Cricetulus griseus: one gene and its partners. The protein of the gene in region 7 interacts with the protein of the main gene of each other region in a pairwise test. Links are inferred from orthologs where the notes say so. Each region holds a gene or a part of one and is shown on either strand. Other genes may lie near its edges. The genes, in order: Ccdc151, Imp3, Sh2d4a, Ccdc68, Ccnd3, Krt20 and Tfip11.

The links.
Region 1: the proteins of Tfip11 (region 7) and Ccdc151 interact in binary tests that used the Homo sapiens proteins (3 or more experiments, as listed by UniProt). The two-hybrid records come from large-scale screens. The link is inferred for Cricetulus griseus from reciprocal best matches to the Homo sapiens genes TFIP11 and ODAD3.
Region 2: the proteins of Tfip11 (region 7) and Imp3 interact in binary tests that used the Homo sapiens proteins (3 or more experiments, as listed by UniProt). The two-hybrid records come from large-scale screens. The link is inferred for Cricetulus griseus from reciprocal best matches to the Homo sapiens genes TFIP11 and IMP3.
Region 3: the proteins of Tfip11 (region 7) and Sh2d4a interact in binary tests that used the Homo sapiens proteins (3 or more experiments, as listed by UniProt). The two-hybrid records come from large-scale screens. The link is inferred for Cricetulus griseus from reciprocal best matches to the Homo sapiens genes TFIP11 and SH2D4A.
Region 4: the proteins of Tfip11 (region 7) and Ccdc68 interact in binary tests that used the Homo sapiens proteins (3 or more experiments, as listed by UniProt). The two-hybrid records come from large-scale screens. The link is inferred for Cricetulus griseus from reciprocal best matches to the Homo sapiens genes TFIP11 and CCDC68.
Region 5: the proteins of Tfip11 (region 7) and Ccnd3 interact in binary tests that used the Homo sapiens proteins (3 or more experiments, as listed by UniProt). The two-hybrid records come from large-scale screens. The link is inferred for Cricetulus griseus from reciprocal best matches to the Homo sapiens genes TFIP11 and CCND3.
Region 6: the proteins of Tfip11 (region 7) and Krt20 interact in binary tests that used the Homo sapiens proteins (3 or more experiments, as listed by UniProt). The two-hybrid records come from large-scale screens. The link is inferred for Cricetulus griseus from reciprocal best matches to the Homo sapiens genes TFIP11 and KRT20.

Annotation. Positions count from the first base shown.
Region 1 is NC_048597.1:134,886,829-134,890,701, forward strand, and holds part of Ccdc151 (coiled-coil domain-containing protein 151), read right to left. Parts: intron 2,625-3,873; coding exon 2,454-2,624; intron 2,369-2,453; coding exon 2,267-2,368; intron 2,178-2,266; coding exon 2,052-2,177; intron 1,076-2,051; coding exon 953-1,075; intron 385-952; coding exon 232-384; intron 1-231. UniProt on the Homo sapiens protein: Component of the outer dynein arm-docking complex (ODA-DC) that mediates outer dynein arms (ODA) binding onto the doublet microtubule. Involved in mediating assembly of both ODAs and their axonemal docking complex onto ciliary microtubules.
Region 2 is NC_048597.1:168,459,618-168,462,886, reverse strand, and holds Imp3 (U3 small nucleolar ribonucleoprotein protein IMP3), read right to left. Parts: upstream 1,766-3,269; 5' UTR 1,714-1,765; coding exon 1,159-1,713; 3' UTR 760-1,158; downstream 1-759. UniProt on the Homo sapiens protein: Component of the 60-80S U3 small nucleolar ribonucleoprotein (U3 snoRNP). Required for the early cleavages during pre-18S ribosomal RNA processing. Part of the small subunit (SSU) processome, first precursor of the small eukaryotic ribosomal subunit.
Region 3 is NW_023276806.1:245,098,698-245,102,570, forward strand, and holds part of Sh2d4a (SH2 domain-containing protein 4A), read left to right. Parts: intron 1-2,514; coding exon 2,515-2,735; intron 2,736-3,130; coding exon 3,131-3,223; 3' UTR 3,224-3,873. UniProt on the Homo sapiens protein: Inhibits estrogen-induced cell proliferation by competing with PLCG for binding to ESR1, blocking the effect of estrogen on PLCG and repressing estrogen-induced proliferation. May play a role in T-cell development and function.
Region 4 is NC_048595.1:169,538,009-169,542,465, forward strand, and holds the start of Ccdc68 (coiled-coil domain-containing protein 68), read right to left. Parts: upstream 2,914-4,457; coding exon 2,797-2,913; intron 1,699-2,796; coding exon 1,612-1,698; intron 1-1,611. UniProt on the Homo sapiens protein: Centriolar protein required for centriole subdistal appendage assembly and microtubule anchoring in interphase cells. Together with CCDC120, cooperate with subdistal appendage components ODF2, NIN and CEP170 for hierarchical subdistal appendage assembly.
Region 5 is NW_023276806.1:256,940,811-256,945,110, reverse strand, and holds the start of Ccnd3 (G1/S-specific cyclin-D3), read right to left. Parts: upstream 2,881-4,300; 5' UTR 2,693-2,880; coding exon 2,495-2,692; intron 1,621-2,494; coding exon 1,405-1,620; intron 1-1,404. UniProt on the Homo sapiens protein: Regulatory component of the cyclin D3-CDK4 (DC) complex that phosphorylates and inhibits members of the retinoblastoma (RB) protein family including RB1 and regulates the cell-cycle during G(1)/S transition.
Region 6 is NC_048600.1:113,147,541-113,152,176, reverse strand, and holds the start of Krt20 (keratin, type I cytoskeletal 20), read right to left. Parts: upstream 3,154-4,636; coding exon 2,743-3,153; intron 495-2,742; coding exon 412-494; intron 1-411. UniProt on the Homo sapiens protein: Plays a significant role in maintaining keratin filament organization in intestinal epithelia. When phosphorylated, plays a role in the secretion of mucin in the small intestine.
Region 7 is NC_048597.1:92,007,472-92,011,344, forward strand, and holds part of Tfip11 (tuftelin-interacting protein 11), read left to right. Parts: coding exon 1-140; intron 141-1,048; coding exon 1,049-1,576; intron 1,577-1,655; coding exon 1,656-1,762; intron 1,763-2,313; coding exon 2,314-2,482; intron 2,483-2,909; coding exon 2,910-3,153; intron 3,154-3,527; coding exon 3,528-3,670; intron 3,671-3,873. UniProt on the Homo sapiens protein: Involved in pre-mRNA splicing, specifically in spliceosome disassembly during late-stage splicing events. Intron turnover seems to proceed through reactions in two lariat-intron associated complexes termed Intron Large (IL) and Intron Small (IS).

The DNA of each region.
Region 1 (3,873 bases), about 43 Mb from region 7:
ATTGGGCAGTCTACTGTATCCTAGATCATTCCACACAGTGATGATCTTAGAAACAGAACCTGACAAATAAAACTCCCAGAACAGGCATACCAAAGAAGTCAGCACAGTGAGAGAATGGAAGGAAGTGAGGACTGATGTGGACAGCTCTACCAGAGCCGGAGCTGGGCAGGAGAAGACACCTTTAAGGGAAGAGGAGCCTGCCCCACTCCAGTGCAGGCCCAAGGCACTCACATGTGATTCAGCCACTCCAGTGGCATCCTTGACCTTGTCAAACATCATTTCCATCTGGTACATGCCCCAGCGACGCTTCAGCTCCTCCTCTTTGTGGCGTTGGTGGTCATGGACTGTATCTTCTGACTGAAGCAGTACATGCTCTCTGTGAGTCTGCTTAAGGGTAGAGGACAGTCAAAGCCACCATCAAAGTCAACTCTGGATAAGGGTTTGGGCTGGATGCCAGGAGAGGAGCCGTCTTAGCTTGGATTGTGGGGAACCGGACAAAGTTTTGTGACTAGGTACCATCATCCCTGTGGGAGTCACAGAGGTGGTCTCAGAACCAAGGTACGGAGGCAGAGTTCTAGAAGGAGTGGCCTCCGGAAAGAGTTGGGCTAGAGCCCCAGTCAGTTAGAACACCAGGGTCTGAATTAAATGGAGAAGGTTGGGTAGAGGATCAGACAGTCAGGGCAAGCCTGGAGGCCATGGCCTCAAGCAGGAAAGGAGGCAGAGGAGAGCCTGTGAGGAACCAAGTGCAGTGAGTGGAGACAGGGTTGGGAGGGGGCAGGGTGAGGCCATGTGTGAGGTGTAGGCAGGGCTCTGGGTCAGTGTGGAGGCAAGGCAGAGGCTGAGGCCTGTCTGGTTTGGGCTGCTGAAGCCCTGCACCTTTAGTGTGGGGTTAGGCAGAGGCTGAGGCCTGTCTGGTTTGGGCTACTGAAGCCCTGCACTTTAGTTTGCGCACCTTGCGCTCCATGCGCTCTGTCTGAAGTTTCTTCTCTTCTGCCCGTTTCTTGCAGTCAGTTATGTAGAATTCACGCTTCTTTCGGTCTCGGATTGCAGTCTCCTCCAGATATTGCAACTGGCTCTAGAAGGCAGGCAGGCAGGCAGGGGGCATCTGGTATCTATCCAGGATAGGAATGGAACAGCGGACCCCAGGCAACACAGCAACAGTACCATTGCTGGAGACTTAAAGACAACTGACTTCTGACTATAATTCCCTGAGCCTTTGGTGTTCCAGATGCTATTTTCTCTAAATTGAAACACTCCCTCATAGAGAGAGGGAGATTCAAGACTCAGGAAGTCCACGAAACTTCACAAGGCTCAAGAAACAAGCTTCACAAGGCCCTTCCCCGGTTAACATGGATGCGTGAGAAGACTGATGAGTAGAACTCTAGGGATGGGCTTTCCCATCAGTAACCCTCACCCATGCTCTGCAAGGATGTCAGAAGCCAGCCTTGGCGACCCCCCATGCCTAGCTAGTCGCCAGCTAGTCTAGCATCCCACCCCTCAGATTCCAAGACCTGGCCTGAGAAGCAACTAACACCTATCCCTTCCCCCACTTTCTTAGTTAGTGCCTGAGATAAACACAGGAGATTCCGGATACCTGCCTGAGAGCAATTAACATTCATTCCTCCCCCCACCTCCTTTTTCTCTGCTTCCCCCTTTTTCTTTAAAAGGCCCCTTGGTTTCAATAAACTAAGACCTTGACAAGACAAAAATCGCTTGGTCTCGCTTTTCTTTTCCGCCCATTATTTTCAGGCTTGATCCACTTCGGACCCACGAATTACTAGAGCCCCTCGGGCTGGGGCACACGGAAGCCCAATAAACTCTTTGTTCTCCAAGTTGGGCTCTGGTGGAAAGGTTGATGGTTTTTGTTTTTGTTTAACTTTGTAGCCTTGGCTGGCCTGGAACTTTCTATGTAGACCAGACTGGGCTGAAACTCAGAGATCTGCTTCTACCTCTGAGCACTGGTATTAAAGGCTTGTGTTAACACAGATAACAATGGTAGCTGTGAAGGACTGCCACCCTACTCCACCCTGGGGCAGGAAGACTACTAGTACCTTGGCAATGTCCCGGGCATTCAGGGCCTCTTGATTCACCACTTTCAGCTCTACTACCTCATGTTTGGTCTTCACCACCTCAGCCTCCATGGAGTCCAGTCGGTTCTCCAAGTTGAGACTCTCGTCCTGACACATGGAGAGAGGGAAAGCTTGTGACTGCTGTCCCTGGCCAGGTCTGCCCTCCTCACCTACCTCTCTCTCCAAAATGTCCCTACCTGGAGGTAAGACTTGAGCTGCAGGTACACATTGGTAATGTGCTCTGCTTCCTCTGCCTTCATCCGGGCCTTCTCCAGCCGGTTCTCCAGGTTGCGCATGGTCTAGGGGAACAGCAGGCTGGGCCAGGTTCCTTTCACCACCATCCATGCCTGCCCCAGGACCCCTTCAGCCCTCAGCAAGCCCCACCTTGGCCGCCTCTGTGTTGCCGTCTTGCACCTCTGCCAACTCCAGTTGGTGCATGCTGTGCTGTAGCTTCAGTTCCTGCAGCCGCTTCTGCCGCAGCGTTACCTGATATCGCAAGGCATTCAACTGGTTCACCTTATCCCTCAGCTGGTGTTCCAGGTGCTCCAGGGCCTGCTGCAGGGGAGCAGAGAGCAAAACCTCAGCTTACCCTCCCCAAGGACTTGAGTCCTGGTTCTCCTAGAAGCCTTTGTCTCTCTGGTCTCCTAGCTGGTTTCCAGGACCCTTGGCATCCATTTTCTCTCTCTCTCTCTCTCTCTCTCTCTCTCCTCTCTCTCTCTCTCTCTGTGTGTGTGTGTGTGTGTGTGTGTGTGTGTGCAACAGGATGGCCATGGCTCTGAGCTATAGACCCAGCTCTCTTTCACCTTTTTTTTTTTTTTAAAGCCATGGTTTTATGTAGTCTAGACTGGCTTCAAATTGTGTGTCCATCCAGAGATAAACTTGAATTCCTGATCTTTCTGTCTCCACCTCCTGAGTGTTGGGATCATATTGGTGTACAACTGTACCATATTTAATGAGGCCCTGGAGAGATCAACCAGGGCTTTGGCTTGGTGTGTGTGTGTGTGTGTGTGTGTGTGTGTGTGTGTGTGTGTGTATGTGTGTGTGTGTGTGTGTAAGCACATGAGAGAGAGACAGAGAGACAGAGATAGAGACAGAGACACAGAGAGACAGAGAGAGCAGGTACCCCTATGTACATGGAGGTCAGAGGTCAATGTCTGGGATCTTTGTCTTTTGGTTTCCAGCTTTTTGATTTAGGCATGGTCTCTCACTTAGCCTGAGCTGATTGGATCACTGACTAGCTGTTGAGAGCTCTGGGGACTCTCCTCTCTCAGTCCCCTAGTCCTGGGATGACCTGCCGGCTCAGTTCAGTGACTTCCACCAGCAAGCACTGCCACCTGACATCTTACTTTTTATTTCTTTCACTTGTTGGGTGCATTTCCTAAAGGTCAGGCATGGGATCCCGCTCCAGGAGCGGTGCTTTTTTACTTTTTTCAGTTCGGACTGCTGGGTCCTTTTTCGATTTCGGGACAGCTGTGTCCCCTTCGGGGCCAGGCCCCTGGCAACTCCCACGGGCAGACGTGCATCCGTAGAAGAGCTTATTGCTGGTTTTCTACCTGCCTCACCCATGGGAAATGCATAGAGGAACCTTTCTGGTTTCATCCAACAAGCAGGTAAACAGACAAAAGCGGCTTACGGTTGCCGCCATTTTGGTCATGTGACCTACCTGTAGGCACGCCCAGCTCCAGTGTCCTTTGCCAGCAAACCTGTCTGTCAGCCAGATCTTTTTCTTTTTATTTTATTTTTGTCTTTTTCTTTTTATTTTATTTTTTGTCTATGATTTCTTCTTTCACTGGCTCTGTTATTC
Region 2 (3,269 bases), about 76 Mb from region 7:
TACACAGAGAAACCCTGCCTCAAAAATACCAAAATAAAAATAAATAAAAATAGGCTGAGCGTTGGTGGCACACACCTTTGATCCCAGCACTCAGGAGGCAGAGGCAGGTGAGTCTCTGTGAGTTCCAGGCCAGCCTGGTTTACAGAGTGAGTTCCAGGACAGGCTCCAAAACAATACAGAGAAACCCTGTCTCGAAAAGTAGGAAAAATATATATATATAGAATTAAAAATAACACCTCTCAAAAAACCCAATATGTAATATGCTGGGTTCTGTATTCTAATTTGTCTGTGCTAAAAATTGATGTTCTCTTGACAAATTCTATCACTTTATTTTTTTGCTGTTGTTTTTTGCCTGGTTTTTGGAGTAGGGGTTCTTAACAATGAACCCATGACCTTGCACATAAGACTAAACACACATTTTTCCACTCCTAAGAACAGCTGTTTTCAGGAACCTCCTGGGTCACTTCTAACCACGAGCTGGCCAAGCTACAGAGTGATCATTTCCTTAGGCAAGCAAAGACTCCGGGCCTTTAATTTGGTATTTCCTGGGGCTGGAGTATCAACAGGAAGTCTTGTGGATAAAAGCTCTGCCAAAACATTCATTCCGAGAAAAGGACTGGTAAAGTGATAAATCTGCCCAGCTTATACAACATCCTGCAGCCTCCACGTGAGGCTCCTGCGGCAGACCTCACGCCTACAATCCTATTCCGATTCTTTCTTAGGGTTAGAAACCTCGGCAAGGGTATCATCAGACAAAAATTTGCACTTAACAAGGTGGTCGGGACATTTATTGGCATAAGGAAAAGGTTTCTTTAAAGGAGGGAGTGAACACTTAACATTCCCGTAGCCCCGTTTCATATATAAAAACAAAACAACAAAAACACCTGAACCCAAATCTGTAGCAGTCAATCCTAGCTCAAGATGATAAAGCCAAGGAGAAAGGGGGTAACGTCCTTGCTTCTACACCACAAAGTGACGACCTAACAATCGCCAGTGCAGTACAAAACTGCTTCCCACTGACTCGCAAAAAAAAAAAAAAAAAAGACAGTCATTTAATTATCAGTCCAAATTCTAATAAAAAGTCCCAGAACTCAGGGGCTATTCTCCCCATGCCGGGCTCAGTGACCTGTAGTTGTGAAGCCTCGGGGAGAAGGCTCGCTAGGCATCCAGATCAAAGTCATCGCGCTCCTCGTTGTACTCCAGCACGTGCCGCTTGATCTTGGACGAGTCCACCCAAGTGACAAAGTCCTCCATGCTGCGAGTGACGAGAAAGGCGGGATCGGTGACCACGTCTGGGCCCACGCGGACGTGACCCTGCTCCACAAAGGCCACGGCAGCCTGAAGGTGCTGAGCCATGCGTAGCTTGAGGAGCAAAGTAGGCAGGCGGCGGCGGCAGAAGGAGGAGGCTGAGACCGAGTCGCAGAGCTCTAGTGAGCCGCGCGTGGGTACCAGGCCGAGCGCGTACAGCTTGTCCAACAGCGCCGCCGAGGCGCGCACACGGAAGGGGTCGCGTTCCGGCAGGTCGCGCAGGCGCCGCGCCAGTTCCCGCACCGCTCGGCTCAGCTGGTTATAGCGCGTGTACTCCTCCCGCCGCTGGAGCCCGTACCGCCGCAGCACGCGCAGCTCGTGAAGGTTGTGGTCGGTGACCTCCCAGTTTAGGAAGTCCACCTGCTTCAGCAGCTTCTGCTCGTGGAACTTAAGCTTCCGCACCATGATGGAGACTGCCAGAGAAAGCGGAGAGCACGCTGAGAAAGCAGCACAACTTCCGCCTCCGCGCCGGAAGACCCCGCCGCCCAGACCCCTGGGCCAATAGAAAGAAAGCTACGACCACGCCCCCGTATTTCATTGGTCAGACTTAAGAGCTTCCTGTTTGGAGAGGCCAGCGGGAGGTCGGAAGGGCGTGTCCTGCGAAGACAGCGTGAGCGTCTTAACCGCCTGGGGGGAAGTCGTATAGCCTAGTGCTTCAGAAATTTTGTTAGATTTCTTGTCTTTGGTGACCCTGAAGAGAGTTCCCCTCAAGAGCTGGAGACGTCAGTTTCGGGAGAGAGGAGTAACGGCTAAAAGATGTAGTTAGAACCGTGCGAATTTCTTCGCTCCAGTGGTTTCTAGAGCTGGCGAATAGTCCCACCCCGGTCAGCAACAGGTCTGTCACTGGACTGGGGAAAGGGATTCTCCTTGCCAAGCAGTACTGAGCAGCACTAAACCTATGGCATGCCGGTTTCCTGGCCGATTACTAGACTCACGTAATCAGAGTGGGAAACACCCTGACATCTGGCTTTTACTTTTTTGAGACATCGTGTCTTCCCTAGGTAGCCACGAATTCGCCGTAATCCAACCCGCCTGTCTCCCAAAATGCTGAGTTTACGACCATGAGCCACTACGGTCGTCTTTTTTATTTTGTTTGTTTGTTTGTTTTTCGAGACAGGGTTTCTCTGTGTAGCTTTGGAGCCTATCCTGGCACTCGCTCTGGAGACCAGGCTGGCCTCGAACTCACAGAGATCCGCCTACCTCTGCCTTCCGAGTGCTGGGATAAAGACCGACGCCCGGCACGGTCGTCTTTTTTATTATTTTATTTATTTTTTATTTTATTGAGACAGGGTCTCTCTATGTGGACCTGGCTGTCCTGGTACTCTATGTAGACCAGGCTGGCTGTCCTCGAACCCAGAGCTCCACCTACCTCTACCTCTCGAATGCTGGAATTAAAGGCTTGTTTCTCTACTCCCAGCTCTTATTCTAGAGACAATTCTATGTTACTCAGGTCAGTCTGGAGAGTATGTTTCGGCAGTCCTCAGTGGTTCACAATATGCACCCAATATGAGGAACTCATTAAGTACAATTCAACCCATCGTCTGAAAGAGCTGAAAATATCTTGTCTGGCAAACTCTTGCCCAGAACCCCCGCCCACCCAAGCTCAAGAATATCTTCCAGCACAGTTCCTGTCTGAAATCACAGAAGCAGAACTGAGGTCAGAAAATGTCTACTGAACCCCCACCCTGATAGGCCCTTCCCTCCTTCAAACCCCACCAAACCTCAAGCTCCTCTGATACTGTGGCACACAGTCACCATTTCTGAGGTGAGGTGGTTTTCCCTCGGTCTCTTTATCAAAGGACAGTCTGCTTCTGTTGAGGTCAAAGAGTCCTGCTCTTGTTTCCACATCTGCTCAGATTTAACACCTCCAGTACTGAAACCTGAAAGGAGTTTCATTGGGGTTGTGACAGCCCCTTCCCTGGTCTCTCTTCTCTCATCTTCTCCCTTCCCCTCCTCTCCTC
Region 3 (3,873 bases), on a different chromosome or scaffold from region 7:
GGAAAGACAGGAAGAGAATAAGCAAACAGGCAGCATGAGACATAGCCCTCAAGGACACTCCTCCAGTTGCTTCCTCCAGCTGGGCTCTACCTCCCAAAGTTTTATAATCTCCCCAAGTGACTCCAGCATCCAGGAACAAAGCATTTGAGACATGAACTGGGGTATGTGGGTGGGGAGGAAGAGGCTATTTCATATCTCAGCTATGGTGAATGTTTATGGTAGACATGAATCAGCAACCTTTCTAAGAGGCACAGCAATAGAGCTGGGGTCTCTGGGAGAGATGCCTTGGGTTGCTTTCCTTTTGGGTGCCGTTTCCCATCTTGGTAGAGGGATCTATCAGCACTTTCCTAACTCCAGTGCTTGATACATGCTCTCATGCGGGGCTTTGTGGTATAGGACCGGGGTCTTCATCTTCCCCAACAGTGATGGGCAAAGAACAGGTAGGAGAAGTGTTGGTGGGTTGACCTTGGCTTGGGGGGAATTCAAATTCCTCCCCCTATTAAAGATCTATTTAGAGATTTTTTTCTTAACTTTGTGCTCTGGGTGACTTAATGAGCTAAAACTTCACTAGCAATTAGAAGGGCTATGAAAACCATTTGATTTTCACCAGGAAGTGTTCTGTTTGTTTCCTTAATAACCAGAACATGAACATCAGCGCAGAGTGAGAGTGGAGGAGGAGGAACCAGGAGCTCCTCTCTGCTGCAAAGCAGAGTGAACTTGAAAAGAACATTGCTCCTCCCTCCCAAATCAGAGCCCACGGGGTGACTCAGCAAGCTGTGCTGTTGATTATTTTCTGTATGTTTACTATGCTGTCTATTCATTTCAAGAATTACAATAGAACTAAGAAGGGAACTTTCGAACGTTGAGTCAAACTCTATGAACCAAGAAATGAGACTGGGAATTCAAGAGACATCTTAATTATACCTCTCATAAAGCCATATATATATATATATATATATATATTATATATATATATATATATATATATATATATGCACTCATGCTGGGCTTTGTGGTATAGGACCGGGTTTTATTCTTCCCCAACAGTGATGGGCAAAGAGCAGGCAGGAGAAGTGTTGGTGGGTTGACCTTGGCTTGGGACATAAGTAAGTTAAGCTCTAGCCTCTCAAAGACCAGTGGATACATACATTGAAGACTAGTTTTATTAGAATTCAGGAGACCTTGTACTGGTATCCAGCACTCAGTAGATCTATCTTCTGGTTCTGTCACTAACTTGCAGGGCTTCCTAGACCAGGCTGTTTCAACTTTAGCACCGTTGATGCTTTGTGCTGGATAATTTTTACAGTACTTGACTGTTTTGTGTATGTTCAGTAGCACCCCTTGCCTCTACCCCATGAATACAAGTACCACCCACACCCACAACAACTGCACCAGTTACTTCTTACATCACTGTGAACACATCGGACAGTAAGAACATAAGACAGAGAAGATTTATTTGATTCCATGGCAAAGAAACACTGGCAGTGGGAACAAGGGGAAGGTTCTTCACATCATTGCAGACCAGGAAACACTTCACATCATATTGGATCAGGAAGTGGAGAAAAGAGAATTCTAGCCCTCAACTAGCCTTCTTTCTCCTCTTTTCCATCTCATCTACTAGCCAATGGGATGATGTTACCCACATTCAAGGTGGGTCTCTCCCCTTCAGTTCATTCTCTGTGCAAACCACATTAATTTCACAACACATGTGATTTGTCTCCTTTGTGAGCTACTGTTTTAGAGCAAGTCATGTCACTTCCCAGACCTGAGTCCTCACTGACCGACAGTGGTGGCCCTATAAGAGCATCTGAAGTTCATTCGGATCTGACCAATTACCCTCAAGATAATATACCAGATTGTCATAAGTGGTAGACAGCTTGTGTCAATGCAAATGGGTCTCTAAGTGAAACTATTTGTAAATACAGTTCTTTTACTATGTGTCCTAGTTTGCTTCTCTGTTGCTATGATTAAAACACTGACCAAAAGCAACTTGGGGAAGAAAGGGCTTATTCCAGCTTGGAACTCCCAAATTTCAACACATCAAGGGAAGGCAAGCAGGAACTTATGGCAGGAATCTGGAAGCAGAAACTGAAGCAGGAGCCAAGGAGCAATGCTGCTTACTGGCTTGCTCAGTTTGGTTCTGTATACAACTCAGGACTACCTGCCAGGGGTGGCACCACCCAAAGAGGCCTGGACCCTCCTGCATCAATCATTACTCAAGAAAATGTCCCCACAGACCAGCTTGATGGCAGATATTCTTCAACTGAGAGGTCCTTCTTCCAATGTGACCCTATCTTGTGTCAAGCTGACAAACTCTCTGTTTTGCGTTTGTCTAGTTATCAAATACCAAGGGGATTGTTTGTTTGTTTGTTTGTTTTACTGATTCCCAAGGACCGCAAAATACACATGGAACAGCTCTGCCTGTCACCAAACTCTATTCATACAGTGAGGGGCAACACAGGAATGGCTTACAGGTACTTTGCTAAAATGACTTTTCTTTCCCCCTTCCCACAGGGATTCTCACACTAAAGAAAGCAAATGACCTTCTGAGCACAGGTGTGCCAGGAAGTTTTCTGATCCGAGTCAGTGAAAAGATCAAGGGCTATGCCCTGTCCTACCTGTCTGAGGAGGGCTGCAAACATTTCCTCATAGACGCATCTGCCGACTCTTACAGCTTCCTGGGTGTGGACCAGCTGCAGCATGCCACCCTGGCAGATTTGGTGGAATATCACAAGGTGAAGCCACTCATATGCTTAATTTGTCTTGGGAATTATTGTCCTATAGATATATAACAAAGAGGGGCATGGCTAGGGATATTGCTCAAAAGCAAGCAATGGGAGGGGCAGCATATAATTCCCCCTGTCCTTTATCACATCCTCCTGACACACTCAGAGATATCCCACTGGATCTGAGAATACTGGAGATGCACATACTGGTCACATGTGTGAATGGTCCCATGCTAGAACTTGGACTCTAGCAGGAAAGGGAAGCTGCCAGAAGGAAATTGCTATTAAGGTTGTCAAAAGCCAACATATGTTTGCACAAGCCTAGAGTAAAGGGGTGATATCCTGAGGAGGTAGAAGGGCATCTACCACACAGCTGCTACATGACCCTGTGCTTTGATTGACAGGAAGAGCCCATAACCTCCCTGGGGAAGGAACTCCTGCTGTACCCCTGTGGTCAACAAGACAAGCTACCAGACTACCTGGAGCTCTTTGAGTAACAGCTCTAGTCAAGATCAGCCTTCAGCCAGGTTTTCCTCTGGACAGACACCTCGGAGGTGGACAGTTGCCTGTGATGCCAAAATCACTCTGTGACAGAGCCAACAGTGAAGAATGCCTTTGAGGTTAATTGAAACCTTGATTCTGCATAAAAGCTGGAGTTCAAGTCAAGGGGATACATCCTCTCCCCATCCTCATTCTGAAAGGAAAAGGGAGAAGTGTACTCATTTCAGTAACATCCTAATATGAAGAATAGGACCTTGAAGGATATGACCATCATGTTGTATATAAGATAAAATAACAAGGCTAACTTGAAATGTATTTTTAGCAGTTAATATGTTACTCTAAAAAAAAAGTGAACTGTTTTGTGATCTACGTGCTCCCTCTTTTGTATTCAGTCAAAGGTCTCAGCGCCTACTTCCATGAACTTCTATCTTGGCTTTAGAATGCTGGAAAAAGCATCCTCTCTTGGGGCTGAGAGTATCCTCAAAAGACAACCATTTTTGTATGTATTGGAGCCAGGATTCAGGAGACAGAAAAGCAAGTCCCAATTGGGAATTGAAAGAGAAGTTTTAACACCTGGTATGTGAGACTTACCATGCACAAAACAACAACAATAAAAAATAACACACACGGCATCAGTAGGGAACCA
Region 4 (4,457 bases), on a different chromosome or scaffold from region 7:
GCCGGTTCCTGCATTATAATGCTGCCTGAAGACACCAAGGTGTGAATTACTTCACAGGCGCTGGGTAATCTCCATTCCTTTGATCTCTGCCTATCCCGTGGCTCATTTTTGCCTGAGGAGCTGAAGCCATTCATAGGGTAATACGTCCCAGGCGGCTGGTCAGCCTTTATATAGGAATGGTTTTCTTGGTTTAATGTCTCTGCTAAGTCTCTGCTCAGTCTCTGCTCAGTCTCTGCTAAGTCTCTGCTCAGTCTCTGCTAAGTCTCTGCTCAGTCTCTGCTAAGTCTCTGCTCAGTCTCTGCTAAGTCTCTGCTCAGTCTCTGCTAAGTCTCTGCTCAGTCTCTGTTCAGTCTAATGCATTAAAGCTTGTCTGCAGAAGGATCCGAGTGTCCTGCGTGTATTTCTTGCTGGCGAGGAATACAGAGCGGGCGCGGGACAGTCAGCAAAAAATCCATTTCAATGTTTCCAGTCTCCATTGGCCAGTTCTCAGTTTACATGGCCCATGGACAACACTGGACAGTTACTCTTTCTACCTGCCCTCAGGGATTCTACACTCTATGGCTTTTCCTCCTAATTCTCTCCTATCCATTTCAACCTCCATGATGGTTCTTGTTCCAAAGACCCAAGCTTTGGGAAATTCATCACTATGCCTTTAGATCATCTGTCATCTCTATGTATTCTCTATGTATTGCTTTCCAATCCTCTCCACTTTCAAAAGTATTGCATTTTATTATTTATTCTGGAGATACAGTTTTGCTGTTTCAATCAAGCAGGTCTCTTGTCCTCCTGCTCAAGTGCCAAACCCAGCTCTAGTTTCAGGACTTTACCAACACAATAGCCTGTCAAATGTAACTGAGTCCGTCTAATCCAGATCTGTACTCTCAAATCTAGGATCATGTCTAACCACCAATGGAATTCTAGAAGTAAACTCCACAAGGCCAAAAATGATTTTTAATATATTCTTCTCTGCCACACCTCAATATAATCTCTTTTTTCCCCAACTTTGGAGCAATTAAGAAAATCTCTAGCACTAGTCATGTTATATGGGAAGTTGAGGGTGACATAAGGAGACTGTATTTATGTAGCACATACTACCTTCTCGTATGATGTGTGACCATGGTTTATAGTCAGTAACGCTAATGGGATAGGTGCTCTTGGCTCTATTGGTACTTAATTTGGTACAATTTGAGCTAAAAGAGACTTTAAGTACATGAAGATGCTACTGAAATTAGGGAAAGGTGATTAAGCATATTGATCAGCAAACCCATCACTCAATTCAAACCCATCAGTTGCTGTGTCCCACCTAGCACACTTGCAAACTTTGTCTCTGAAAGGTATTGCTACTGTGTGTTCCCCTTGGTCTGGTGTCTTCCCATCTACTTTATAATTATGTTCTGTTTTCAATGTTCCATTCTGATCTGATTCTTCTAATGACATCCCTAGTAAACATGTCATAGATATATCTTTAGATGTTAGACATTCATGAAATATTTTATCGCTCAGCTTCAATGAGTAACAGTGGGCAGAAACGTTGATTGAATAAGAAATCTATATGGCTTCATGTTAATTTTCTGAAAGAAGGCAAGGAATGAATCTTGGTGCATGTATTACCTCTGCATCTAGTAGGTAATTTTCATTGCCATGTTCTTCTTCATCTTTAAACATGTGGTTTCGGACCTTTTCCAGGGTAGTTCGAATCTGTAAGAAAATATTTATTAATTTTTATAAGACATTTAATTCCAGATGCATTTTTCTTTCTGTATACCAGCTACAGAGCACTTTATTTACATATATATCCTGATGTCACATTTAAAGATTAGCCTCCAACCAAAATTATATTTAAGTTAATATCATTTAGGTTGATGAAAATAAGTGTTTTGTTTTATATCTCTTTTTCAGATAAACCTAAAATATGACAAACCAAATTAAATTATATATACTACAAAATAATTTAGTAATTAGTACTTAAAAACTGTGCATTTTGTTCACTTTTATCTATAATTTAGTACTAATTTAGTGTTTAGTAATACTAAAAGACAATTACTACTTAGTAATCACTACAAAATAATTACTACATAGTAATTACTACAAAATGATTACTACATAGTAATTACTATAAAATTACTACAGAAAAACCCTAAGAAAGGATCATACAAATTTATGCATGAAGTTTGAGTTCCAATCTTGCTAACCTGTTGAATTATTAGACAGCTCAAGGTAATTTAATTAGCTGATCTGAACAAGTTTATAAACTCTCAGTGTCAGAATTTTTCTATCCATTATAACAGTTTATGTGAGTATCCTTTCTTAGCTCTTTTCCTGGTGGATTTCTCATAAGTTACATTATTAATGACATCACTTGCAGAGATGTCACTGGCACTAGCTAGCACTTAGGAACCAGGTGAAGAGAGGGAGCTAGAATCAGCGGGAAACATAAACATCCACTTGGGAGCACAGCATCCACATTCAGGAAACCACCAGGGGAGGTCATAAAACAGCAGGAAATCCAGCAGCGAGTGGTGGGGTGTGAATTAAATGCTGATAGGTGTACTGAACCGTCCTGGCCATTACTCAGTTCCACTGAGTGGAGAAAATCATTTTGCTTCCCATGTAGACACAGGTTTATATTGTAAAGAAGAAATGACTAGCCATGTTTAAATAGAAGCTGTCAGCTGTCCTAAGCCAAGTGAAGTTCACCCCTTTCTAGGCATTGCATGGATGAGGACACAAAGCCCACTGATCCATACTGGTGCTCATCATAAAAATACCATGATATGATGTCTGATGCCCTCATACCTTTTTCACATACTCGGTTTCTTCAATAATGTGAGCTGACGAAGATCCATACAAGACAGAGTCACCTTCTGTCTTACCTCTTGGAGAGACTTCTGTAGTCACTGTTACAGTTGTCATTGTGAGTTCTGGCCTTTGGAAAACATAAATCATCAGCTCAGCAACACAACATAAAGGAGTTTTGCCACAATCAAAGCTTTAGTATCAAATGATTAGTATCATCTTAGTCTGCAAAATCTCTTGAGCAGGGCCCTGTTTTATTCACTTTATGCTATACCATACTGTAAGTGCTCAATAAATGTCCATGGAACTAGAAATACAGTCATAATCAAACTGTGTGTGTGGATCCTATAGAACCTTGATAAACGCTGTTTATCAAAATATCCTCTAATGGAAAGAAAATTTGGAAGAAATCCAAATGCAGTTGAGTAATATTGGTAAGTAGATTGCCACTGTGGGATATCATTTACAATGTATGATTCAATTAAAAAACAACATGGACAGAATGAATATATAATATTCCATTTTCTTATTTTTTTTTCAAAAAAAAGGTGGCTAATATGAATGAAGAGAAATATCAACTCACAGCTTTGACAAAGTAAGTTTCAGACCAGCCTGGGTTCCAGAGTGAAATTCTGACTACAGACATACACACACACACACACACACACACACACACACACACACACACATACAGGAACACACACACATACATACATACATGTACACACACAGGAACATATACACACATACAAACACACACAAATGAGAACATGAACACAACCACACAAGAGGGAAGGAGTAGTGAACAGACACAGTGATTGGGATTCTGATCACTATACACAGTCATGTTCCTGGTGGACAGGTTGTATGTAGTCTAGATACCATATCCTCCTATGGAGAAGCTAGAGCTTCTTGAGTGATTCAGGTTGAGGACACAAAGCTCATAAAACTAAGCATGTCAGGTGATCAAATACTGTTTGAATAAAATATAGAAACCATCATAAATGATTGTGATGAACTGAATAATATCAAAAATCCTAAATCCTTGAACTTATAACAGGTGAAACCTAACTATTGCCATGGTCTTCATTTATCTTCCCTCCCACCCCCCCAAAAGCTGCTGAGCCAACAACTGGATGGACATGGGACAAAGACAGAAGAAAGAAAAAGACATAGCAAGCACATGTCACATCATTAATACATTAACTGTATTTTTCAGTAACTAAGTAGTTAATAATAGAAAGGTTTTATGGTATATCAGCTAATAAACTCAAAGGAATTGATAGACTTAGAAAATGCAGCATTTGTAACTGCTTATGAAGGAATGGATCTAAAAGAATCCTCAACCTCAGCTAAGAACACCAGGTTAAAAAGTTTAATGCAGAACATTACAGACTGGAGGCTTCAATACTCAGGAATCCTTGTAACTAAGTCTTCTACAGATTGAGTCTGGGGCTCAATGTTATAAGAGCTCCCTCCTGCTGCTCTGAGGAGGATATAGATTTGGTTTCCAGCAAATCTTACATTAGCAGCTCACAACCACCTACAACGTCAGTTTCAGGGAATCTGACACGATCTTCTGGACTTCCCAGGCATCTGTATACATGTGCTATATATACACATAGGCACATACAAACACATACAATAAAAAGATATCAAAG
Region 5 (4,300 bases), on a different chromosome or scaffold from region 7:
TCGGGCCCTGCGATGCAAGGGTTTAGACTGCTGGAGTTCTTAGAGGTCCCTTACAGCTCTGACCGCAGGCCACTCAGCGCAGGCCTCTAGGAGAAGGCTTGCCTATTCTGAAAACCTCCCCTCACACACACACTAATGTAGACCACCCTAATCTCTGCACAAAGAGGAAGTCTCCTACCTCCCTGCCTCAATCCCTCGAAAACATCTTGCTCCCTGGCTGTGGAAACTACCAGATTCATCACAAAGAGCTGTGGGGCCTCCCTGATTCCCAACTCAGGCCTCCCATCAGCTGCTTGACAGGGAGAGGAATCCAGTTCCCCGACTCAAGGCAGTCAGGGGCCCCAGTACCCTAGCTTCCCAGCCAGCCAATCACATTAGCCTGCCTGCTGCCCTCCTCCCTAGGAGATGGGGCCCAGAGACTCCTTTCAGGGTCAGGGAAGGCTTGGCTAGCCACAGAATAAGGTGGAGGGAGGTGCCAGCTCACCCACCCTCTCCCCCAGACCCTGTGGGAGATGATGTTCAAGCTCTATTCCAGATTCAAGCAGTTCCTCCACCTCCTCCCTAGACTCCTCGGGGCAGGGCAAAACCCAACCGATTTTTGCCCCGCCTGGAGGAGCCCAGCCCATGTTCCCAGCAAGAGACCCCAAGGAGCCACTTCCCAAACCACAGGAGTGACAGCAGCTCCCCACAGGGTTATGAAAGCCCTTGGTCTGAGTGGGAGGGCAAGGGGACCAGCATCATTATCACATCGAAGCAGCTGCAGCTCGGCTCCCTGTCTCTTCGGCCTTTGGCTAAGAGGCAAAGGGAGAAACCCTTCCACCGGCCCAGGGCAGCTGCTCTCGTTTTTTCAGAAGACAAGGAAGGGTGGGTAGGGAAGGGGCTCTGTCTTTGGGAATAGAAGGGAAAGGGATGAAAACACCTCAGCACTTCCTTCCAGCAATCAGGGCCTGGCTTTAATCAGCTCTGGGAGGCTTTTCCATCACAAAGTCCACACGGGGATAAAGACTCATGCAAGGCAGCCCCCTCCCCCACGTGAAGCACATTCCACTCCGGTGGGGGTGTGCAGACATGCCCTGCTGCTGCCAATAAATAACTCATGGTGGCTGTGTAAACCCAGAGGCAAAGTACTGGTGTATAGACCAGCAACTGGACTGGTTGCTATCTGGGGTAACCCCACTATGGTCAGAGGAAGGGGGTTCATTTGGTTTTAAGCCTGCAACTAAAGCACAACTACCACACTACATGGCCTTTGTCCCACCCCAGTTCTTTTCCAAAATACTGGCCTAGGGCGAGGGGAGGGTTGGTGAGTGAGGGACTGAGCTTGGAGTTCTCTTTTCTAGTACATAGGGCGACAGTATTTGAGAGCGGGGGGGGGGGCGCCACAGAGGGGGATTCCACACGCACCCGCAACTGCCAAGGAGCCACAGCTTGGTCCGTATAGATGCAAAGCTTCTCAATAGTCAGGGGCGTGGTTTCGCGCAGCTTAGAGGCCAGCAACAGGCAAACAGTACCGAGGAGCTGCAATTGCGCCTTTCGGGTGGGGACGCAAGACAGGTAGCGATCCAGGTAGTTCATGGCCAGAGGGAAGACATCCTCCTCGCAGCGCTGCTCCTCACACACCTGAGGGATGGCGCACGAGTCATTGCTAGGGAAGGACCAAGTGAAACGCAGCAGCATGGGGGGTGGAGGGAGAGTGGAATGTGGAGCAAAAAATAAACAGAGACGGGATAAACTTACAGTGACAAGAATCAATAACCGAGGAGGATGCGCCCTCCCCAAGGTGACCCCCCCACTTCCTTTGCCTGGCCTCCTCCCCACCCCTGAGTGGTGGGGGTGTAAAGGAGAGAAGCCCTTGCTCACGAGGGATTCCAGACTCCCCTCCCCCACGGCGAGCGGAAGGGGGACGGAAGGGTCGCCTAGAGAGAATTGGGACCTTACCCTCATTACCACCACCCACTGCACACACACTCCCAAGGGGAAGGGAGGGAACTCCTGCCGCGGTCTCCCGCACTTTTCATTTCCCTGTGGACCGGAACCGAGCGCGCGCCACCCCCACCAGCTTCCCCCGCCAGAACCCCGCGACAGACACAGGAACCAGTTCTAGGGCTAAGGCGGTCGGTCGAGCCCCAGACTTTTCCAAGCACGCTCTCGGAGAACTACAGGCGAGGAAGGAAGCAGGAGACACCGAGAGAAGCCAGAGGGGAAATAGTGGCCCTTAGCCCGCTTTCCCGACCTGAAGTGAAGTTTAGTTACAGTGCCAAGTGACTGGCAGTCTCAGAAGAAGCCGATCGGGATTGGGGAAAGGAAGGGGACAGAACGCAGGCAGCTGGCTAGGGTGGATGCCTGTGTGAAAAGGCCAGGCCCCTCAAGTCGGGGCCGCCAAAGCATCTTGAAGACTGTGGTCCGATTCATGATGCCCCGACAGGGCAACTTGGATTTGCCCAGAGCCGGAGGTGGGGGTAGGGTGAGGAGAGGGGACCGGTCCGGGCCTTACCTCCAGCATCCAGTACGCCAGCATCTTCCGCATGTGCGGCTTGATCTCCTTTTGCACGCACTGGAAGTAGGAGGCTCGCGGCACGTAGCGCTCCTCCAGGCGGAGCAAGCTCTGCAGGACACGCTGGTCCCCCAGCAGCCTCGGGTCGGGCCCGGCCCGGGGCGCGTGCCGGGTGCCCTCGCAACACAGCAGCTCCATCCTGAGGCGGCTCACGGGCGAGAGCAGGAGTGCGGGCTGGCGAGTCCTTGGAGACGCGACGCGCACGAGGGAGAGCGCGGGGTGCGGGCGGGTCTGGCGCTGGCGCTGGCACTGTACGGAGAAGCCCCAGCCCGCCCGCCACCCGCGCGCACCGCTTCCCTGACAGGCGCCCCGCCCCTCGCGACGATGTAGCAACCGTGGAATGCTCCGACGTCACAACGTTCCAAGGGGGCGGGGCCGCAGACGGAAAGGGCTGGCGGGCGTAATCCCCTCCTTCCCCGCAGCCCATTGGTCCGCGGGGCGCCGGCTTCTGCAGGCTTCCGGGCCCTCGGGGCCCTCCTGACCAAGACGGTGGAGAGAACTTTCTGGGAGGGTGCCCTCTTCCCCATCAATGGGCCGTCTTGACTCTAGCCACCCAGGAAAGAATTACTCGCCCAAAGTTATCCATTCATTCACGTTTGCACCCTACTTCACTGCTCCAGGGAATGTTAATAGCTGCATATCTGGGTCGCTCCTACCTCAAGGTGCATTCCAGGTCTTTATTTTGCAGACCACCAAACTGAAGCACAGTGGTAGTTGAAGAGACCTCACTGTCAGTCCAGGGAAACCCGGCTCCAGAATTTTGTCTACTTAAATGAATTCCACAGACTTGCTGCAGCACCATCTGGCAGCTGAGCAGGAAGGTAAAGAAAGGGTCATGTCACCAAGGCTGACAACCTGAGTGTGATCCCTGTGACCCACACGGTGGAAGAAAAGAATCAACTCCCATAAGGTGTCCTCTGACTTCCACACTAACGCTGTAACATACCACCACACCACACACCACCCGGTATGCACGCGCACGCACACACACAAATTATAAAAATGAAAAAGCAAATGAACAAATGCAGTTTCTCAGGGTCCGCTGAACGGGACACTGCACTGTTTCCAGATTCGTGGAACAACTTAAGTATAGGTGGTGTTTGTCGAAATCAGCATATTAAAAGCCCCACGGTGATGGTGCACGCCTTTAATCCCAGCACTAAAGAGACAGAGGCAGGCAGATCTCTGAGTTCCAGGCCAGCCTGGTCTACAGAATGAGTTCCCCAACCCATGGGGCAGGGGAGGGGGGGGGGGCAAGAGAGAGACAGACAGACAGAGAGGGAGAGAAAAGAGAGAGAGAGAGAGAGAGAGAGAGAGAGAGAGAGAGAGAGAGAGAGAGAGAGAAGCTGAGGATATATATCCAGTTGGTAGAGTGCCTGTTTAGCATGCTCAAAGCTCAGGGTTCAATAACCAGCACTGTAGAACCTGGAATGTTGTCCTACACCTGTAAGACCAGCACTTGGGAGGTGGAAACAGGAGGATCAAAAATTCAAGGTCACAAATCAGTGATGGAAAACAACTTTAATCCCAGCACTCAGGAGACAGAAGCAGGCAGATCTCTGAGTTTGAGGCCAGCCTGGTCTATGAGTTCCAAGAGAGCCAGAGCTACACAGAGAAACCCTGTCTGGAAAAACTAAAAATAAATAAATAAATAAATAAATAAAGTCCCAGGTTATTTTTGGCTACCTAATGAGTTCAGTGCCAGCCAGGGCTATATAAGATCCTATCTCAGTAACAAAAACAACC
Region 6 (4,636 bases), on a different chromosome or scaffold from region 7:
GACTTTGGGGCCAGCTTGGACTACATAGCAAGACCCTTTCTCAAAAACAAAAAACAAGACAACCAACCAACCAACCAACCAACCAAAACACACACACATACACACACGCACGCACGCACGCACGCACGCACGCACGCACGCACGCACGCACACAACACACATACGCGCACACGCACACACACACACACACGCACACACACACACACACCACACACACACACGCACACACACACGCACACACACACATGCACGCACACACACACAGCACGCACGCACGCACGCACGCACGCACGCACGCACGCACGCACGCACGCACACACGCACACACACATACGCACACACACACACACACACACGCACGCACACTTGCACACACACACACCTATAGTCACTGTGATGTAGGGAACCTACTTCAATCTGAAGTCCTCTGCAGCCAGTTTAGCATTGTCAATTTGCAGGACGCACCGAGCATTTTGAATTTGAGCATCCTTAATCTGGAAAGCATAAGAGAGAGAAAGAATGACATTTTCATCAGGGCTGGAGATAAAAAAGATCTCATTTGTCCTCAGAGACAACTGTAATTACATCAAAAGCGATGTCCGTTTCAAAAGTGTGAGAGTAATTAGGTGCAATAGTGACACAGGTATTGAGGTAATAGTTAAAAACAGGACTCTTGGTCTGACCCACTTTCTTGTTTTTGTACAAAACAGAAGTTGGACTTCATCCATATCCCTGAACCTTATTGAGTGTCTTGTCTGTGGTGATGTTCATGCCTGGAATATTGCCGTTAGCCCTCCTCACCTGGGGAGCTCCTATGCCTTCAGCTCTCAGCTCAGACACCGTGGCTTCAAGGGGGCCTTCAATGATATCCCCCAGTTCTAGCAGGGCCGTGTCCCTGCTTCTGTGGCTCTGTACAGCCTTCCTGCGTTTACCTGAGTGACAGTTGCTTTGGTCCAGGCCTGTCTCCACCTTACACTTTATTTACCCACACATTCTTCTATGTGTGATGCTCAGTACCCAGCTAGTGTCTATGAAACAGTGAGTGAATGACAACTTGCCATCTGGTAGGCATTAGGCATTAGGATGGAAGGATGGACACACCCTGGTTTTCTCTCTCTCTCTCTCTCTCTCTCTCTCTCTCTCTCTCTCTCTGTGTTCATATGTACAGGTATATACATGTGTAGGTCAGAGGACAATCTTCCATGCTATTCCTTAGGTACTGTCCACATTTTTTGGGGGAGGGGCAGGGTCTCTCATTGTCCTGGAACTCATCAAGTAGGTCAGGCTGGCTGACCAGCAAACCCCAGGGATCTTGGGATTACAAGAACACACCATCATTCTCCAATTTTTTTTTTAACCTGGGTTCTGGGGATCGAACTCAGGTTCTTGTACTTGAAAGACAAGCACTGTATTCTTTAAGATGCATGTAGACGGGAAGTCTACTTCTAGAAGACATGAAAATGACACATCTCTTTCAGTAGCTATTCCTGGAGAGAGGTCCCTTGAGAGGCTTCCAGCTAGAAGGTACTAATGGCTGCTCTGAGGTATCATGGGTAATCCCCGAGTCAATTCAGAAGCATCAACCTTGAGAGCAGTGCTGGAGAACAATCATTTTGAATGTGTTTCAGCGAAAGCCTGAAGGAACTCCCTGTTGAGGGTGATGTAACCACCTTAGCTTCCTGAGCTGATTGTTTCTGTGAATCTGAATCAGGCTGCACTGGTACCTATAATACAGCTCCAGCAAAGAGGCCTTCGGGCCAAGTCAATGGCCTTTGCTCTAAAGGGGTAATCATTTTAAATATACGCAAACCAGAAAGGGACACTTTCCTTGATTAGATAAGAATGCTGAAGCAAAGCAAATGGTGTGCTGTGCTTGACCTTGTCAGCCCGGAGCAAAGTCTCCCACTTCTAGTCCACTGGGTTTATAAAGAGAGAGAGAGAGAGAGAGAGAGAGAACCCCACCTATCTTGGATGACACAGGAACAGATTGTGATATGATTGTAATAAATTTGAATTGGGGGCAATAGAACATTTTATTATTGCTGAAGTGCTTTATAAAATGCTTGATGATGGTCAGCAGAAACTTAAACAGGACATTAAAAAATCCACTTAGCGAAACTGAGCATGGTGGCTAATCCCAGTGCTGAGGAGGTAGAGGCAGGAGAGCGGTGAGGTGCAGACTAGCCTGGGATATACAGGGAGATCTTGTATTCAAAAGCTGTTCCTTCCATCCACCCTACCACCCATCATCTACCCATCTGTCAGTCAATACAGACACTATAATATCTGTAGTCTGTCTGCACTCTGAACCCTTGTAATATTTATACCCATAGCAGGATGACACTTGAATTGTAACATTTATATGGATGAAAAGAGAAAAATCTCTTTAAATTGATCTGAGTCTTCAAAGTTGGTGAAGACTAGTGGGAAACTCACATAGAAACCCTTGGAGTTCTTTTAAAAATAAGATTATTCTCCATGAAGACCTGACATTGGAAGCCACGACAAAGACACAGGCTGTAATTTTGGATGATAAGATCATCACATTTTATATGTAATTAGGTGGGTTAAACGCATCCTGTTTACACTAATGCCACATGATAAAATAGATTTTTCAGCTATAAAGTTCAACCTAATTTGCTTCACGTGTTTGAATTCGCCTAGCATACACTCACAACCCCCCCCCCCTTAATCTAGTATACTACTAAACAGTAATGTCGAAAACACAGGTCCATGACTTACCTGATTTTGCAGCTCTTTGATTTGTGCATAGTAGGGACTGTAGTCCCGGATGGTGCTAGGCGCATTGGTTTCATACCACTGCTTGATCTGGACTTCAAGTCTGGAGTTGGATTGCTCCAGGGACCGCACTTTTTCTAGGTAGCTTGCCAAGCGGTCATTGAGGTTCTGCATTGTTAGTTTCTCATTGCCAGCAAACAGGTCCCCTCCACTGGAGAGATCACTCGCATAGCTCACTACAGATTTGGAGACAGAGATGCGAGTGCCGTGGCCTCCAGCCCCACCATAGACACTGGGTGCAGCCACCAGGCGCTGGGCGCTCCCCTTCCTGTACATGGAGCTACTCATGCTAAGTGCTGGGCCTTGTGAGGAGGAACTCAGACTTCTGTGAAAACTTCGACGACTGAAATCCATCTGGGATCCTGGGAGGCAGCACCTGTAGCCTGGAGTTGGAGCACAGCCTGTCTGTCTCTGGTGCTGGAGAGCTGACCTTTTATAGAGTTCAGGAGAGACACTCCTCCTCTGCTGCCTTGTCACCTCAGGAATGACACAGTCCACTTTGCTACCTCCCCCTCTTTTGTACAGCAATATGTTTCATCCTATTCCAGAAATGACCACTAGAGACACTTTATTAAGGCTTTTCTAGTGTGTGTGTGTGTGTGTGTGTGTGTGTGTGTGTGTGTGTGCGCGCGCGCGCTGGGCGGGGGGAGGAGGGAGTGGTGATTTCTTTTTAATGAACACAAGTATCAAAAAGAATGAGGAAGGGGTGTTCTTTCAGATCTTGCACCTGCCCTGGCAGGTTTTTTTTTCATCCCCGTGTACAAATAAAGAATATTTACAATCTATATGAATAATTCAGGCTTTGAACAAGACAGCTGTGGGAACACAATGGTAAGTCATACTGGTGAGAACAGACAAAGGCTTGTTCCAATGACGAGCTGCTTTTCAGAACCTCTGTTTTATGCTCTTTTTTTTTTTAAATTTGCTTTTGAGTTTATCCTTGTTTAGAACTTATATTTTTAGTCTGTTGAAATATCTTGTATGAGGCTGGGTGTCCTGGTGCACACCTGTAATTCTAGCAATTGGGAAGCAGAGACAGGAGGATTACTGCAAGTTTGACACCAGCCTGCTACATGGGCACGTGAGTACACACACACACACACACACACACACACACACACACACACACACACACACACACACACGGAGTTTGAGAACTGAATGTGGTGAATAAGTAAATGAGTATAGGTGTTGATTTTGGAGTTGAAAATACTTTCAATAGTAGTTTTAGGAAATTTCATATATGTATATAATGTATCTTGATAACATCTACCCTGACTTCGCTCTCCAACTGCCCCAGAAGCCCCCAACACATTTCCCATCCAACTTATGCTCTCCCCTCTTTTTAAAAATAACTCATGAATCTAATTAGTGCTGCCTGTGTACTTATGGGTGTACTGGGGTGTGGGAGGTGGCCACACCTCCAAAGAAAATCCAACTCTCTTCTTGACTTCCAGCAACTCTCAGCTTCCAGGAACTCCTAGACTAGGGCAGGAGCCTTGAGAGCCCCTCAGTGTATTCTTTTTCCTTTCTTAAAACAAAAACAAACTCAGCCGGGCGTTGGTGGCTCACACCTTTAATCCCAGCACTCGGGAGGCAGAGGCAGGTGGATCTCTGTGAGTTCAAGACCAGCCTGGTCTACAAGAGCTTGTTCCAGGACAGCCTCCAAAGCCACAGAGAAACCTGTCTCAAAAAAACAAAACAAAACAAACAACAAAAAACCAAAAAACAAAACCAAAAAACAAAAACAAACTCTATTATGGAAACCTTGCAAATATCTTTTAAATACGTGTGTCTAATGGTTGAAAAAATGTTTTTAAAAATTTAAATCACCAAG
Region 7 (3,873 bases):
AGCTGAGCCAGTGGAGGAAAGACCCCAGCGGGAGCAAGAAGAAGCCCAAGTACTCCTATAAGACTGTGGAGGAGCTGAAAGCCAAGGGCAGGGTCAGCAAGAAGCTCACAGCACCTCAGAAGGAGCTGTCTCAGGTCAAGGTATGAGGACGGCACATTGGTCCCCGTCCATCCTCTGAAGACTTTGATAACTGGTGTGTGTGTGTTTGCCTGTGTGCGCTCCCAAGTGTCCATGTCCCTTTCTCCTTTCTAAGACAGAATCTTGCCATGTGATCAGGCTGGTCTAGAACTCTTAGCCCAGGCTGGCCTCAAATGCTCAGTCCTCCCCAGACCTCCTGACACTGGGATCCTAGGGCATGACCGCTTCGTGGTCCAGTTCTTCTGTTTCTGCCCCTTCGTGGCACAACAGTGGTCAAGGCAAGCGCACAGTGCTCCCACCTGTCTGCAGCTCATGCCCAGTGAGTTCAGTAAAACTCGTGAGTACAGAACATGCCAGGCTCTACCTTCCACTCTGCACACTACAAAGTACCCCATCTCCCCATGCAGATCATTGTGGTGAGCACAGCTCCCAACCCTGGAGCCTCTGCTCAGCCTGCAGCTCCTTTTGGTTTGTTTTGGGTCCTCTGTAGATACCTTTGAGACCCAGGGGAGGGCTCCTGGGAGTGCACAAGCAGATAGGGAATGCTCTGACTGGCTGGGGGCCAAGACAAAGACCCCTCCTTTAAAGACTTCTGACTTGGGGTTCTGATGGCCCACAGGTGTCAGGCTTGTCATGGTTGTGGGTGAAGTGAGTCGTTTGGGACAGCTGGGGTGTGGAGAAAGGCCTCTCTTTCTATGGTGGACTCATGGTGTTACTGTCACTTTCCAAGTGGCTCGACAGCACTGGTGGCAGCTGCCTGTCATGGTTCAGTATGAGGTAGTGTGAGTGTGACAGCTCAAGTCTGTGGTAGGCAGCTCTGCCCACTAGCAAGGCTTTTGACACTTGGCCAGCGTCCTGTCTCCCCTGCTCAGTGGCGGCTAATAGGTGGCAACCTGCCGCTCTTTTCAAGGTGATCGACATGACAGGCCGGGAGCAGAAGGTGTACTACAGTTACAGCCAGATCAGCCACAAGCACAGTGTGCCGGATGAAGGGCTGCCTTTACTGGCACAGCTGCCTCCCACAGCCGGCAAGGAAGCCAAGGTGCCAGGCTTTGCACTGCCCGAGCTGGAGCACAACCTGCAGCTGCTCATTGAGCGCACGGAGCAGGAGATCATCCAGAGTGACCGTCAGCTGCAGTATGAACGGGACATGGTGGTCAGCCTGTCCCACGAGCTCGAGAAGACCGCCGAGGTCCTAGCACACGAGGAGCGTGTCATCTCCAACCTCAGCAAGGTGCTGGCCCTGGTAGAGGAGTGTGAGCGCCGCATGCAGCCTCATGGCACCGACCCCCTCACGCTGGATGAGTGTGCCCACATCTTTGAGACACTGCAGGACAAGTACTATGAGGAGTACCGCCTGGCAGACCGTGCAGACCTGGCTGTGGCCATCGTTTATCCGCTTGTGAAGGACTACTTCAAGGATTGGCACCCTCTTGAGGTGAGCTGGGTGCAGCCTTCAGCTTGGTTAGAGGCCTGGTTGCCGAGTTGGGAAGGCTGATGATGTCAGTGTTCTGCAGGATGGCAGCTATGGCACCCAGATCATCTCCAAGTGGAAGAGCCTCCTGGAGAACGACCAACTTCTGTCTCACAGCAGCCAGGACCTGTCCTCGGACGCCTTCCACAGGTGCCTGGCCCCACCCTGCTATATATCCTCTTGCCTCCCCGGGGAGCAGGAATTCTAAAGGTTGGATGACAGCAGTTTTGGCTGCTATTTGACTCTGCTCCACACTGACACTGCTGTGGTCATTGAAGGCATGCTTGCTCACATGTCTATTGTATGTCCTGAGGGTCCAGGAGCTGGGCCAACCCTGGGAGGACCATGAGCAACTTTCACCTACAGTCAGGAAGGGCAGAGAACCAAGAATGAGGTCTTTGTGGAGCGGGCAGAGGTGTTGGGGGGGGAGGGAGTGGCGGCGGCAGACATTCACCTGTTACCCTGAGTGTTAGGTGCTCTTGGTGGGAAAACACCTCAGGCTGTGTGCTGACACCATTGGCCCCACGTGGTCCTGTAGGAGCTCTGCCAGTGTGTGGCACCACTGAGGAGCCCAAGGCCCCGAGCTAAGACGTCATGGGAGCCCTTTGTGGAGACTGACCTGGAGTTTCCTGTGGAGGGCTGTGGAATGGCCCATTTTGAGGCCAACACTGTGGCTGACCAGCTGCCCTTGCCTCTCACAGGCTCATGTGGGAGGTCTGGATGCCTTTTGTCCGGAATGTTGTCGCCCAGTGGCAGCCCAGGAACTGTGACCCGATGGTGGACTTCCTGGACAGCTGGGCACACATCATCCCTGTGTGGATCCTGGACAATATCCTGGACCAGCTCATCTTCCCCAAGCTGCAGAAGGAGGTAGGGCAGAGCTCCGGCAGTGTCTCTGGTCACCCAAGCCACCAGACTCTTGGGGCTGAAGGGCTTTGTTAATGTCCTACAGTATTTATTCAGCCTTTTCCAAAGTATCCCCTTCCTGCCTCCCTCAAGAGGGAGTTCATTTCCTCAGTACCTTTAGTGAACCTTGAGCTATGCTGAGGTTGGAGTTGGTGGCACGGGTGCATTTGTTTTTTCTCTGTGGAGGGACCTAGAGTACAAACTGCCTGGGAGGCAGCTTAGCAGCTTCTGTGCCTGCCATTTGCCTCCATGGTGGATCTTACCCTCCACATCCACACTGAGGACTGTGGCCCGTGTTCAGGACACACATGCCTCTTTCCTAAGGACAGCACTAGTGTGTCATGAACTGTCCATGGACTACAATGCTCGTCCTTCTCCATTCACCCTGCAGGTGGACAACTGGAACCCCTTGACAGACACCGTTCCCATCCACTCGTGGATCCACCCATGGCTGCCCCTCATGCAGGCACGCCTGGAGCCGCTCTATTCCCCTGTCCGCAGCAAGCTGTCCAGCGCCCTGCAAAAGTGGCACCCCAGTGATGCTTCAGCTAAGCTCATCTTGCAGCCCTGGAAAGAGGTCCTTACCCCTGGATCCTGGGAGGCCTTCATGCTCAGGAACATCGTGCCCAAGCTGGGTAAGGAGACAGGGACAAGTGGGCCATGTGTGGTTTACTTAGTGTTCCACCACAAAAGCGTGCTGCTTATGGCAGAGGTGGAAGTGGAGTGGAACCAGGGCCTTCTGGTGGTCTGTTCACGACTGTGACCATGTTCTGCTCTCACTAAGGTCTGCAGTGGTGACTCTGGGCGCTCTCTGTGCCTTGTGGTTTTTTTTTTCCCTGACGGGGCTAGTTTGGGCCTCAGGTCCAGAAAGCCACTGGCCTCAAAATGCTTGTGATCCTGGGGTGGAAGGAAAGAGCAGACCACAAAATGAAGGGTCTGCTGGATAGCACTTTGTGCTTCCATAGCTTTGCCACTGCAGAAGCTGAGCCAGGGACCATCTCTCTTGCAGGCATGTGTCTGGGTGAACTCGTCATCAACCCCCACCAGCAGCATATGGACGCCTTCTATTGGGTGATGGACTGGGAAGGGATGATCTCTGTCTCAAGCCTGGTGGGGCTGCTGGAGAAGCATTTCTTCCCCAAGTGGCTTCAGGTGTGCTGTGTGGCCCAGGAGGGCAGGGTGGGGTGAGAGCCCAGGGGTCCTCAGTGCGCATTGCTGTCAAGGCATGGTATTGTCTCACCTCAGCTCCTCACCGAACCTGTCTGGGGATGTAGAGATTTAGGTCCAGCACATGTAGGCCACAGGCTGGCTCTAGATTCTAATAATTGCTAGATGCTGCAACTCCACGAGCCCTG